Struthio camelus: one gene and its partner. The protein of the gene in region 1 binds, or shares a complex with, the protein of each later gene. Links are inferred from orthologs where the notes say so. Each region holds a gene or a part of one and is shown on either strand. Other genes may lie near its edges.

Evidence for each region.
Region 2: the proteins of ACVR2A (region 1) and INHBA are in contact, whole or in part, in a crystal structure (PDB 7U5P), measured with the Homo sapiens proteins. The link is inferred for Struthio camelus from reciprocal best matches to the Homo sapiens genes ACVR2A and INHBA. Residues at the interface, in NP_001265508.1 of Homo sapiens: Asn36, Asp53, Lys56, Phe61, Thr63, Lys65, Val74, Lys75, Cys78, Trp79, Leu80, Asp81, Asp82, Ile83, Asn84, Val100, Phe102; in NP_002183.1 of Homo sapiens: Ile340, Ala341, Pro342, His346, Arg397, Pro398, Met399, Ser400, Met401, Leu402, Tyr404, Asn409, Ile410, Ile411, Lys412, Asp414, Glu421.

What each region holds. Positions count from the first base shown.
Region 1 is NC_090947.1:43,328,264-43,335,292, reverse strand, and holds the start of ACVR2A (activin receptor type-2A), read right to left. Parts: upstream 3,018-7,029; 5' UTR 2,186-3,017; coding exon 2,131-2,185; intron 1-2,130. UniProt on the Homo sapiens protein: On ligand binding, forms a receptor complex consisting of two type II and two type I transmembrane serine/threonine kinases.
Region 2 is NC_090943.1:59,022,866-59,029,820, forward strand, and holds the start of INHBA (inhibin beta A chain), read right to left. Parts: upstream 3,008-6,955; 5' UTR 2,898-3,007; intron 2,516-2,897; coding exon of another isoform or gene 2,509-2,515; intron 532-2,508; exon of another isoform or gene 230-531; 5' UTR 41-229; coding exon 1-40. Other genes in the region: uncharacterized protein, read left to right, coding at 2,509-2,515, 3,993-4,102. UniProt on the Homo sapiens protein: Inhibins/activins are involved in regulating a number of diverse functions such as hypothalamic and pituitary hormone secretion, gonadal hormone secretion, germ cell development and maturation, erythroid differentiation, insulin secretion, nerve cell survival, embryonic axial development or bone growth, depending on their subunit composition.

The DNA.
Region 1 (7,029 bases):
TGGAGACTGTATACTGGAGAAAGAAAGAACATGTCTTTACATCTGAACTCTAGGATTTCTCCAACTATTGCCAATATACTTAAATAAATAATCTGGATAGACTTCTTCCAGTCTAAAGAACGCCAAGGAGACTTTTACTTCTGACTATGATGTTAGAACAAATTAATCAGATGCCTAACCTACACAAGTCACAGTGAACAGAAGAAACACTACTAATCAAAAGGCATGTATTTAATGCTAAAAGCTTAAATAGTCTTTGAGTTCTGAATAGTAGAAGTAAAAACTCACTGCAAGTCTGTTCATTCTTATACCTACACCAGGAGAGCAGAAACGCTGATGAATATTAGGACAGAAAATACTTTAATAATTGTTAAATACTGGATTATTTCCTGTTTAATACTGGAATAACCACCAAAACAATGTTATTAACATATGAAGTAGTCCAAAATCTAGCCAGTTCTTCATTTAGTGAAGATTATTTCCTTTTTCACCAGGCAAGAGAAATATTCACTTTTTATCTACCAAGAACAGTAAGAGCAAGAAGGCTAAAGAAAAGACTGTTCTTGTTGCTTAACAGTTCTTTTTGATATGGAAGATAGTTAATTTCAACAAGATCACTGTTGTGTGCTCTAGGCAAAAGGATCTTAATAGAAAGACAAGGAACGGAAAGACATACATGAAGAACAGATGGCACTAAGCCTTCCAAAAACTGCCAGTTGGGGGGGGAGGGGGGAAGTATCCTATGAAAATATTCCTGAATGAAGAGGAATGTCACTTGAGTAACTTCAAAACTAGGTATTATTAGGTCAAGATAGAAGATATGTCTTTTAGTGAAAGGTAAAATTGTCAAAAGTAATCATATGCTTTAAAAAAGAAAAGGTACACTTAGAAAAAAAACACACACACACACACACACACACAAAACTATGTGCCTGTAACCTCTTCTGCTATTTCTCTGATTAAAACAGACAGGATTCTTTTGGTTAATTTCTGGCAGTGATCGCCATTTCACAGCACATTTAGCCCACACGTAATTGATCAATAACACTACAGACATTAGACTAGACTATCCATTTACTAACCACAAGAAAATGTACTGTTCAGCAAAATGCTGCACATTATAACATTGAAATTTTAAAAGGCAGTGACTAGATCTGTATTACAATGCCTTACACAGGTTACAATTGAAACCTGAAAACCAGCAGTCAGAATACTCAGACTGATAAACAAGTTTATCTTTGCATGCTGTATGAGAAAGCTAAAAAGCATACATAAACATACAGAGAGGACTCTAGATGCGTTCAGAAACATATAAACAAGTTTTAAATCTGTTACACCGCTCAAGATTGGTAGCTTATAATAGCTTTTTGTAAAACTGATGAAGCTTCAAGTAGAAATGTATCAACAGTCCAGCCAGCCACTGGTTGCTACCATAACAATTCCCCCCCTAAAACAAGCGTACAGAAGTTCTCACACGCCAGTTGTTTCGCATGACTAAGAGCTAGCATTAGAAACCGAACTTTTGTTATTTCAAAGATAAAATTAATGGACTTTTGTACTACAAAACACACATAGCAAAATACAAAGCCTTACAAATCGCTTAGAAACCGATTTGAAAGTCTACCTTTTGCACTTATTCTGTGTGCACATCTACACGTGCACACATCCCTTCCTGTCAGTAAAGGACTAGGCTAATACTTTCATAGTAGTAACTGTTCTACGCTAACGAAGCATTAATGAAGGCCGGTATTCACCACTGAATGCCACAAAACAAGAGATATCAATGAAGTTAAGAATATTTCAGTTTGATTATTTATATTTTAAAACACGAAACATGCTAGTTATTGCATCATCAGGCGACTGCCTATGACATTAGGTGGTTAAATTTCTGCATGTGTTCTACGCAATCTATCTGAAATGCAAGGACCGCACATGCTCGAAACGATCAGCTACACAAATTCTTAAGAATAACGATCAAAACAGCTAATGCCTTTACAAACACTGCCAGCCCCACACGTTTGTCATCTGAAAAGGAGATTTATCTTAATTCATACTAATGAACAACGTTACCTTCAAGCTACCTTTCAAGCTCTGATCCTTTACGTTTAAAGTGACAAAAATAAGACTTACCCGAAGAACATGAGATAAGAAAAACAGCAAACGCCAACTTGGTAGCAGCTCCCATTTTCCAATGCTGTTAAAACATTTAAGTGATTTTAAGTATCCAGTTTCCTGGGTCTTGCAAGCTGGAAAATCCCCCTTTCCGCTGAACCGGAATAATGCACTCTATATCAACATTTCTGAGGAGTATAACGTTCACAAAATAGTAAAGTCGGATTTATTAAGTTAGTGACGATCTCTCTCTGGCTCTTTCTGGCGAGAATCCGGGCACAGGGATGGATTTATTTGGAACTGTGTTTCAAAACACACGTGTCATTTGGCTTCTGTACAAACGGTGGCAAAATTTAATTCATAAAAGCATGTTACGAATCCACTAAAAAAGTCAACAATTAAGCCGCTGGATACCTTAGGAAAACAAAGTCTCGAAACACACTCCAACTCTTTTCCACATCAAGCTTTGCAAAGCATCCCTCGTGGGTGCTGAAAATCGGGGAGTCGTACTGAGATTAGTAAACAATATATTTTCGTCCTCACTCCCGTTATACAACATGTAGTGTTTGGGAGAAAAAGAGGTCCACTTCAGTTTCAAACGTCACGAGCCTTTGAGGAAGGGAAGGATAAGAAGTCTGTCAGTTTCTTTACCAAAACTACCTTAAAAAGAAAGCTACCAGCTACACGTGGGCAACACTGAAGTTTTCTTTAATAATGCTGCGGGATTTAGCGTAACCCAGGAGAGAAGAAGGGAAGAAACAACAGTCTGATAACAAACAAACCTCCTGGCCTCCTCAAAAGTGGTAAATCTCTAGTCCTTCTCCAGCCAGTCAATGAAAGCTGCACATTTCCCCTTCTCTCCCGTTTCCACGAGCCTTCGCCTTGTCCGTTCAACACCAGCCCTCTCGAGCCCAAATCAGATTTCCAATTCTTTTAAAAGGCTGCCACCCCCCTCCCAAGAGACTATATTTGGTATTTAAACACAGAAGAATGACTGGGGGGGGGGGGGGAATTGCAGTATCCAGCCGCTGGGGAGGAGGGTGATAGATAGGCTCGGTGGCAAATCCTTCCTTCCCGGATCGCTGTGTTTCGGGGAGAATTCCGCTTGTCGGCGAGCGCGGCGGCTAGCGAGGTCTATGCGCGCACGGGAGGCGACAGCAGCTATCGCCTCGTCCGCGGGGCTGGCGGCAGGTTTCCTCCTCCCGTGTTGCCAGGCTTGTGCCTCTTCTGCTGGATGGTAAATACACACGCTCCTCGCCAACTCCTCACGGACACATTTCTTTCCCCCCCCCCCCGGCCTCTCTTTCCGCGCCTCTACCCGCCCCGCTGCTGTTCAAACGGAGACCCTAGGCAGTCTCTCACTCAATCCAGTTCTTGCTTGGTGTAGAAGAAAAGGAAAAAAATACATATATATATATATATACACACACAGCAGGGGGTGGAAAGGAGAAGGCTGCCGGACTCCCGCTGTCCCTTCGCTGTGCCTCCCACACAGCGCACCAGGCGAGCCCCGGCCAGAGGGTGGAGGGGGGCAGGACTCCCCTCGCCACCCTCTCCCCTAACTCTGACCCCGGCTCACTCGCGGCTCGGAGGAAACCGCCGCTGAACGCAACTCTCCCGTCTCCCGGGCGGCGGAGGCAGCGCGGCCGAGACCAACTTTGTCCCTCCAGGAGTGCAGTTTAAGGGCTGGCGAGGAGGAAAGGCCGAGCCCGGGGTTTTTCTCTGAGCGGCGGTGGCGGCAGGAGCCGTCTCTAGAGTCTCCCGAGTCCCGCTGGCAGCTCGGAACAGCCCTCCGGACCCTGCTGCGGCTGCTGCTCCCCTGTGGTAATTTCATATCTACCCATTCACTTGTGTGGCGTGGAGAACGGAGCCAAGATGGCGGCGCCCGGGCGATTGTTTTTGTTTCCTCTCCTCCTCCCCCCTCCCCCACCCTCCCCTCCTCTCCCGCAGCCCCAGTCGCGGCGGCCCCGTCGCGCGACGCCGTGCGAGCGCGCCGCGCCGCCGATTGACAGCCGCCCTGGCCACTCGCCGCCCGCCGCCCGGCCCCGCCCCCTCTCCTCCTCCACCCCCCCCCCTCCCCAGCCCGGCGCCGCGAGGGGCGGGGGGAGCGCGCGCCTGCCCGCCCCTACCTGCGCCCGCGCGCGCCCCCTCCCCTGCCGCCTCGCACACGCGCACACACGTGTCCGCGCGCCCGCCCAGTGGGCGCGGCCCTCGCGCCGTCGCGGCCGTTGGGGCGCCGCGGCCGTTGGAGGCGCCGCGGCCGTTGGGGCGCCGGCCCCGGAGGGTCCCCGCCCGGCTCGCAGAGCGGGGGCCGGTTTCTGTCGCCTCTCGCCTCGGTAATGCTGGAGGAGGAGAGGGTGGGTGCGTGCGTGCGTGTGCGCGCTGGCGCCCGCCGCGGGGCCGGCCGGCCGGCCGGCAGGTGTGAGGGACGGGCCGCGCCTCGCCGCCCCCGCCCCCGCCCCCCCCCCGCCCCTCCCCGCCACCCTTTGTTATTAGTCCACCTTTCCTGGCCTTGCACCTGGCGTTTGGGAGCGTTTCTCTGTCACCACAGCCTTTTCCTGGTGACAGCGGTCTGCTGTGGAGGGAGGGCTGGGAGAGAAAAATACCGCAAAAAAACACATTTGAGACGTGTTATAAAAGCGAGAGTTGCTGGCGCTGGTGTCAAAGGCTGTTTTCCCGGCTTTCTGGCAGCGTTGAGGGCTCTTTTCCTCACTCCCCCAACCAGCAGCGATGCTGCTGCTGGTTTCTAGCAGGGAGCTTTAGTAGGAAGGATGGCATGTGGCATTCCCAGTGGCAGACTTCTTCCTCAAGGACCTAAATCTAATCCCTGTTGTCACAAAATCCAGTGTGCATTTTATAGTCCTGCTTTCAGGTGCTGTCGTGCACAGATAGTATGTTAGCAGGTGGTTATACCTACACAGCATATTAGTTATATATATGCATTCATCTATATATGTGTGTGTATATCTATATGTGTGTGTATATATAAAAAAGTGTCATTGATGATGTGTGCACTGGTCCCCCAGAAGAACAGGGTGCTCTGCTTGCATGGTCGCCACGCTTCCTGCCTCCAGCAGCTTTCTTATCGTTCCTCTGAATCACAGCACACTCCTGTTTCCTATCATTGTTTGTCCTTTGGCCATCACAGCCTAGCGGCTTATATTATTTATGTGCAGCGAGACCGCCTTTAGAAGTTCCCGAGATGGGCACAACACTACATTGTTCTGCTGTGCAAAAGCGGAACAAATGGTCTGTGCCGCAGGACATGGGTATGGAGCAGCACGTGCGCTCAGTTTGGAACAGAGGAGGGAGAGACCAGGAAGAATGAATAATTTCCAGTGTTCTCATCTTTTGGAGAAGATATGTATGGGTATTTCTGGTAGTTTGTTTCAGTCTAGATGCAACGTTTCTACGGTAAATCATCCATCCACCTCAAGGGCAGCTGTTCTGCTTCTTCATGAGTTTGGTCGGAGTCTGTACTTTTTTTGAGTGGATACCGTAAAATATGTTATCTGCCTCTGAGTGCAAAGGAAGACACGTTTCTTCTAGACCTGAGGAAGGATGCAGAAAAGCATAAGGGCCGTAGTGGTGGCCTATGATTTCTGTATTTTGTAAAGGCCTGTGCTTGTGGAAACAAGAGGTACCAAGTCCTCTGAAAGCTGATAAATCGTTCACTAACTATAGAGATGTGCTGAATGACTTCAGATACTTTACTTTTCAGGCTGCTGATGGCATGGTCTAAGTTTTTAGGTGATAGGAATACCAAATTGGAAGGAATATTATGTGTAAGATATTTTCACATATGCGAATGTGCAACCAAGCCAAGGCTGAGCAACCAAGCAACCTGAGTTGTACTAATTCACTGATCAGCAGGGGCTTTCAGTAGCCAGACCTGTTGAGCCACCATAATACTTGGATTCAGACATGAAGAAATGTGGATATTTTAGACCCTGCGTTTGTACTGAAGTGTCTCTTAAGTTCTTAATCAGGATTTGGATGTCCTTTGTGTTTTTCTGGCCTGTTCAAACACTTACCAAAACTAAATTCATTCACTGATGATAATTTGCTTTGAAACCTCCAAAAGCAAAACAAGGTGTATGGAATTGTGCAAATGTAAAAACATCAGGACATGTGGCAACGCTTTTTGTGCCATCTTTTATCCAAGTGTTTCAGAATGATTTACAAGCATTAATTAATGTAAGCATTACAACACTCCTCCTTAATCTGTAGTTTTTAATATTCTTCAATAGCAGAATATTTAAACGTGACCTGTTCTGCAGGTTGTATTTTCACTTGGCTCAGCTTCTTCAGAATGCTCATCATGTTGCCACATGAGCAGGAAATTATAGCTAAAAGTATTGCTATTGTGTGCATATGCGTGTGTGTGTGTGTGTGTATGTTTTCCATTTTAAGTATTTGGTTTTAAATACCTTTTTTACTGACAGAAGGTAGATTACGATCCATATTCATATTTCACCAATTATTTTAGATATAAAATAGAATGAATATTTGTTATCTATAAAAAACATTTGCATGAATGTCATAGTAAGAAGGTGTCTCTTTCTCAAGTAGCTTATTATTCTAAAGCAAGGGTGTTTTTTTGTTTGCAGGATCACTTCAGCGGTGTTATACCTTCTACCCATCCAGTAAATATTACCAAAACAGGGATCTTTCTTACCAGGTTGGTCTTGGGCATCACATGTTTATGAGGTCCATAGGAGTCATGAACGAAGCATATCTCTCTCTCTTTCTTCCTCGTTTTAAGGCCTAATGGGACCATCGCAAGTGGTACATGAATTAGAATGACTGTTGGTAACTAGGATAAGGGAGCCCACTCACAGTTTCAGACCAGTCCGGAAGCATTATTATAGGAATCAGTCTCTTTTCAGCCCTCCCAAGCACTGCATGTAAACCTTA
Region 2 (6,955 bases), on another chromosome or scaffold:
AAAGCACCAACAAAAATCCTCTCTTCAAAAGCAAAGGCATCCTGGCAGCAAAAGTTGTTGTGATTCCCTTTTTAAAAGGCCCTGCTTTTCCTCCCCCTTCACGCACAGTTTTTGTTGTTGTTGTTGTTGTTGTTGTTGTTTTGGTTTGGTTTGGTTTGGTTTGGTTTTTTTTGGGCTGGTTTGTTTTGTTTGTTTGTTTGTTTGTTTTTCCTTCTCTTCAGCAAATTCTCTGGAAAAAGAACCAAAAGTTTTCTGTGAAGTTTTGTTTGCAGGTTCCCCCTCTGCATGCAATAAGTGCTGTAGATGTTTGTGGCTGTCAGGGAGAAGAGTTCTGACTCTGTCTCAGAGTAGGAGAGAGACACAGGGAGAGAGGGAGAGAGAGAGAGAGGACGGATTGGCCTAAAGTGAGTGAGTGAATGAGAGAGGGAGGGAGTTTTGTCTGTGAGTAAAGGCTATGATTAGGAAGGGGGAGGAACAGGCAGGCTGGCTTCCTTATGCTCATTGCTCCCCTAACACACACCTCTCTTCAAATATCACTACTCATGTTTTCTGCCCTCCCCCCTTTCTAAATCTCTTTTCTCTCCTGTACATTTACTCCCTTCCCCCCCCACCCCAGTTTGACTCCTGGCTGTCATTTCCCCCCCCCCCGCCCTTTTTTTTTTTCCTTCCTTTCTTTTTTTTTTTTTTTTGGTTTTGTTTGTTTTATTCCTTCAACAGTATCACTGGCTTAACTAAACAGAGGAAACATGAATGAATGAAAACGGTGAAACCTTTTATTAATGAGCACCTTGCTCTAGGTCCTGTCTGGTATTGTTAGAGATAGCAAGAGATGTTAAATAGCTTGTGAATGAGAGGGGGCAGGAGGCAGGGGCTCGAAATATTTGGGGCAGAACGTTATTCTGCCTCGAGCGGAAGAGAAAAGGTCTTTTCTGCTCACTTTTCAATGCTGGAGGTTATCAACACTGGCAAGAGATCTGACGGGAGCAAAATAACGCTGTTGTTTGGTGGGCTATATAATACTTGATACGCTCTCCAGCTGCAGGATGCAGTGAGGTTTGAAAGCCCGAGCGAGAGGTGGTGGAGCTCAGATCTGTGACGTGCTAAGGTACTGCCCTCGCACCAGAAATATCCCTGCTTCTGCCCTAGCCTGTGCCTAGCGTTTCTCAAGCAGATATATTTAGGTTTGGGGTTAATCAAGTAACGTCTGAAAAATGCTTTGAAGATGAAAAGTGTTACATGTCATCTGGCCAAATTATACTTGCTCCTGACTCAGGCAAATCCCTCACTGATGCCAATAATAATTTTGTCTGAGTGAAGGCTGAGTAAGATCATCTACATTTGGCCCATTGGTATTGCAAGGCACTTCTCGTTTCATTCAATTAAACCACACAGAGCAATCACGATATCAGAATAAGACATTGCAAATGGAAAGCGATCGAAAATGCCACGGGGAACCAGAGTTTCAACAAGTGTTGGTACATCCTTGCCAGTTTATGCCAGCGAGGGTTTTTTCCCCCTGCGCCGCAAAAGCATTCCCTGTGTCACTGCCGTGACTTTTTTTGCCTTTGTATTCTGCAGCGTCTCCCTTCTGTTCCTTATCTAGCAAGGACGAAGTTAACACATTCCCTTAGGTTTGAACTCGGCAACGCAGAAGGAGAGAACTACGGCTTACTGAGCCAAACTTCTGAGGTTTTTCCCCGCCGCACTTTGACGTTAATAGATTTTCTTAGAGCAGCTTCTACTTTTTTGGTATTCACCCTCTTTCTTTTCCTTTCTCTCAGTCTCTCCCTTGCACACCTCGGTCTTCTCAGGTGTGCTTACCTCCTACCCAGCAAATATGCCACTTACACTGCATTACTGTCAGCCATTGCATTTTAGTGGAAAGGAGTAATTTATAAATATAAGCATTGTAAGTTCTCTAGTTTCCATGAGATGACTACAGGCACATGGTCTGAGAGACAGGCAAGGAATTATAGTTACAGTAAATGAAACATACAGAAGTAATTGAACAATCAACCAAAGTTTTACAAATGTTATATATTGCAAGTCCTTTTCAATTAAGCTCTTTTATAAGTCTTTCACTGTTATAAGGCATCTACAGTACACCGTCATCTGTGTTTTACTGACCTCAGTTACTATACTGTTATATACTGTTACACTTATGGGTCTGTCAGCATTATAAACCCTGCAGCCATTCTTATAAACACATCTTTGTAACACAAACCTCACTATAATACATCTAAATTTCTTGGATCTCATGAACAGCCCAAAGTCTGTTGTAATTATATGAAGTCTGAAAGTCAGCTTGAAATAGAAGTAAAAGTTTAATTGGATGAAAAAATAATTTGAGAGGAAAATATGCATTCATGATTAGATGTATTAACAGATGACATAATTAGAGCGGTTATTTATAGTTCTCACATAGCACCTATCCCAATAGTGTCTGATGAAAAGTAAGGGACAGGCATATAGCAACATAAAATATAGATATGTATATTTGATTTCGTGATGCGGAGTATGCGCTGCTTGCCATATATATTAGGTACACTTATTACACACAGTCTCTATTACGTATAGATATAGCATATTATACTTGCATGCCATGATGATTATAGACTGAACATTAAAGCAGAACTTTATATAAAACATTATTTTCTAAAAGCGAGTCTACTGATTGTGCCTATATATAGTTCGTTCATACTTACATCCATACACGTATATATGTTCATGCTTAAAAATATAGAAATGATGGTTCAGAGTCTTTCTATAAAATTTCATGAGCTGCAAAGCTCTGTTTATGCATTCATTCAAAGCATCCATGACAATATGCAACAACATGCACCTTAATTAAAAGTTTTAGTTTTAAAAGAAAAAAAAAACTGATTTAAAGTTGTTACCTCTCCAGTCCTCACACTCTCAGAAGGAGACTGCTGTATTGTGCATTAAGAACTGCTCAAGTTCCTCTTTGTGGTATTCATAATGCGAAGCTTTATACTGTACTTCTCATGTCTACACTCACAAAATAATGTCTGTCAAAAGTAAGGGGGCCGGATCACTGCGCGGGATTGGTTAATCCAGTTACATCAGCAATTGACTGTTTTTCCTGTATGAGACATACTTCTGGTAATTATCTAATGGAAACTCCTAATTGTCTAGCATGACAAAATATCGTGGATTCAACTTGTAGTGGTGATCTCTGTACCCATTTAAAGAACAGAACTTCAAATCAGACTGAAAGCAAACATTGTGAGTCAGGAAGACACACTCCAACTTGTTTTATTGCATAGCTAGATATAGATATTATTAGATGTAGATACCACTGATTTAGTTCAGATACAGTATTTGCCAGATACTTAATTACTAGTTAGCAAATTGTTTTATTCCTCTTTCATACCAAGGAAATATCAGATAATCTATGTGCAAATCTGGACTTTTTTCAAATTCAGGAAAATGCATTTGATTCAGAATCCTTTTTGGAGGATTCAGTCTCTGTGCGATCCCTTAGAATCTCTTTCTGTTAACTTAGAGGTACCTTTAAAGCTCTTCAAAAATGAATCATATTGCTGTTGTCCAAGTCCCATGGCTTCCTTACACGCAGAGTGCATCACACTTAAAAACTGTTGAGACTGCTAAAAATAAGTTACAATGAATGACACATCATCTTTTTTGCAAGTTTGATATTAACACGTATGAAATAAAATTCAATTTGGATTTCAGTTTACATTAGTGAAAATCAGAAATAATTCTGTGTCTATTAGGCAGTGCAAAAGTAATATATACAAGGTCAAAAGCATATCCAAATTCCATCTCCTTTCTTAAACACACATAATCACTGGATTTATGTGGTACCGTTTATGACAAATGGCATGATCATGCAGTCTTTACTCATTCAAAACACCCACTGATTACCAGAAAATCCCCATCCTTCAGATTTTTTTTTTTGGCCTGAATCGTACTTATAATTGTATTTTTATGTCCTGTTGGTAATGTAGATCTGATCTGTCTTGGAATATGGCTGATCTGGATCAGGAAAGAAGGATATGAAATTTTCAACTTGCAGTGGTACCAGGGAGTGCTTATAGCAGCACTGATCGCGGTTGAGGTACGTGCTGAATTCACACAACAACTTTGGTAAAATGAGCAAAAAATTAAGAGTTAATGGGAAACGTATGCCCAGGTAGGTTGTTTTGTTTGCAGGTCTAATATGCATATAATAAGTTTTCAGGCTGCGACATGCTGTAGATTGAAGCCTCTTGAAACAGGTTTCAGTAGCTTTGCTGCAGTCTGACATTCACAGTTGCAGTTGTTACAAAGAATAGGGGTTTTTGTTTGTTTGTTTGTTTGTTTGTTTTTCCTTCAGGGACAGTGAGAAACAGACTGAGAAGAACAAATAATTCCATTCCAGAGGCGCACGCACATACTTAGTTACTTGCAGGACAGTATCTTTAACTGGGATCCTAAAACAAAGTTTTGGCAAATAACTTTTCCAGCAGGGAATTCTCTGTTCCCAGGGCCAAACTGCGTTTGGTTTTAAGTGGCATCCTAAAACTCTTTGCAATTAGTTACATAGTGGTAGTGCAGTGGCTACTGTAATTTGGCAGCAGACGTGTGTACTCAGTAAGAGATCTTGTGCTACACGGACAGTGGAAAAATTGTCCTGAAAATAACAGGGTTATCTTCTCCTCGGAGTCAAAGTGTGAGATGCTCTATTCCCACCAGCTGGCACTGGTGACCACTCCTGACCACTGCTATATCCATGCTGATACAGCAACCACTGGTTTAGTATCTTCTTCCACAGCTGTAGCAGATCACAACATCCCCAGTAAGAAAGCGTGGTCTGTAACAAAAAAAGAAGGCTACCGAGTGAAGCACAGCAAACATGTATATGATTTATAGTGCAGGATAATTTCTGAAAGGAGATTAGGAGAAGTGAAAAGCATTATTCATTTCAGAGCATGCTCCTTATTGCCTCAGGGAATATGTGTATAGCTTTACCAAAGGCCTAATGAAAGCTTTGCTCAGTGACTAATTTTTTTTCACACCTATTTCTCTCTTTATAAATATTTTTCTCCCCACCCCTCTGCTTCTTTTCATTTTGTTGAACACAGCAACACCTGCTGGCAGTGGTCCGGGAGTACTGCTGGAAAGACCCACAGATCTAACTCTTCAGACCAGCTGCCATTAAGCACTGCCAAGCCATATTAATGAGCTGCCTCTATTTTTACCCCTTCCTGCCAGAAAGGGCAGTTGCTCTTCGGAAAGACTGTAGCATGTTTTTTTTTTTTTCCCCTCCTCTCTTCTTTCTTTCTTTCTTTTTTCCTGGCAGCTTCAGAATCCAGATAATCATTGTTCATTTAGTGAAGCTGGGATTTCTCTAACTTAAATTCTGATGCCACTGATTGAGACCACATAAAACTCCAGAGTGATGCTAAGGCGATCGAGTTGGCTTGCAGGCATATGTTAGTTCCCTGCCGGGTCAAAAATAACTAAAGGGAAGGGACTGGAAGAGAAAGGGTAGTATACCAGCAACCTGTCTCTTTTTCCTTTTTGTGGATTTTATCTTACAAACCGTTAAAAAATGGCCCATTGCCACCTCATTATTCACCTACTGGAGGTTGTATGATTTACTGGCTGTTTTGGAATTGGGCATGGTACACAACGGTATTTGTGTGTCTCCGTTCTTGCTTTGAAGAGCAGTCACTAGAAAACACATTGGCACAGATTTCTGCGCAAATCAGCTGGAATCTCGCTCTGCTGTACCTTGTTTTACTGTAATAGCAAAACAGGATGTGCCAGAAACTTAGAAGTTTTACGTTTCCCCATTTTATGTAAATGGTCCAATTAGGGCCAGTCTTGCTGTTGCTGCTCACTCTAAAGCCTTTGCGTTGCTTAGAGGGGCCAATGTTTTCAATCATAATTAGAGAGCTGGTCAAAAAATAAAGTTCGTCTAAGGATAAGGACTCTGTCTGGAGGGTGGGGTAAAGAATAGCTTTCAAGTTCTTGCCTTTTTTTGTATTAATGAATGACACTTTTCTCAGGGGGGCAAGATAAGCATGAATGCTCTGTTTTAGGAAGATCTGTCTTCATTCAAAGTCAATCTGACTAACAAATGAAAGCATGTTGTTTTCCTTTCTAAACGATACCTCTGTCTTCTGCCATGCTGTTCATTGATCTTCTTTCTTTCCGATTCACTGAACAATGAACTGTTCCTTTAAAAGGGATATTTTTATGTTCATGTTATTTTAGCATATGCATTGCTGTTTTCCACTTAAAAACCAGGAGATATGCATGCATAAGCCAGGTGACGCAGATGATGTTATCAGCGTGAGATGAAATGACACAAATGTGTTCGATAATATATCAGTGCTTGCCTAAAACATGTGGGGGAAAAACTATTTACAGAGAGAATTTTCTTGAATTCATAGAAAGTATAGAGGTAAATTACGACTCCAGAGGGTAGTCCAAAGAACCGAAAGCGTTCCCACAAACTAGTGTCCTGCCTTGTTCTTATGGCACGAAGATTTTCAGTACATTACTGGACTAGTCATTCTTTTCTTGAGAAACAGCTCTGCAATGTGTAAAATGTCTCAAGTGATATTTCCAGAGGTTGTGATTAGAGTCGCATCAAATAATTTAAACCACACAGGGAGGGAGCTCCAGACTACAGATCCTATTTGGTTCCAAGTTGGATGAATAATTTATGGCTAAAGTTGGAGCAGCGTTTAACATTTATAGGTGAATTAAAGCTATTATCAAAAAAAGAGGATTACACTAAATTAATTTGCATGCTGTTTAAAACTTCAACTGTTGCACAAAGCATACATCACAATCATTCCTCATGGAATTGTACTTAGATAAGTGGAGTTTTATCAAGGATACATTTGGGCCAGCTGCAAAATAATTGGTAATGGCTTTATTTCTCTGGCAAGGCCAAAGTTCTCTATTCTGTGTTCCT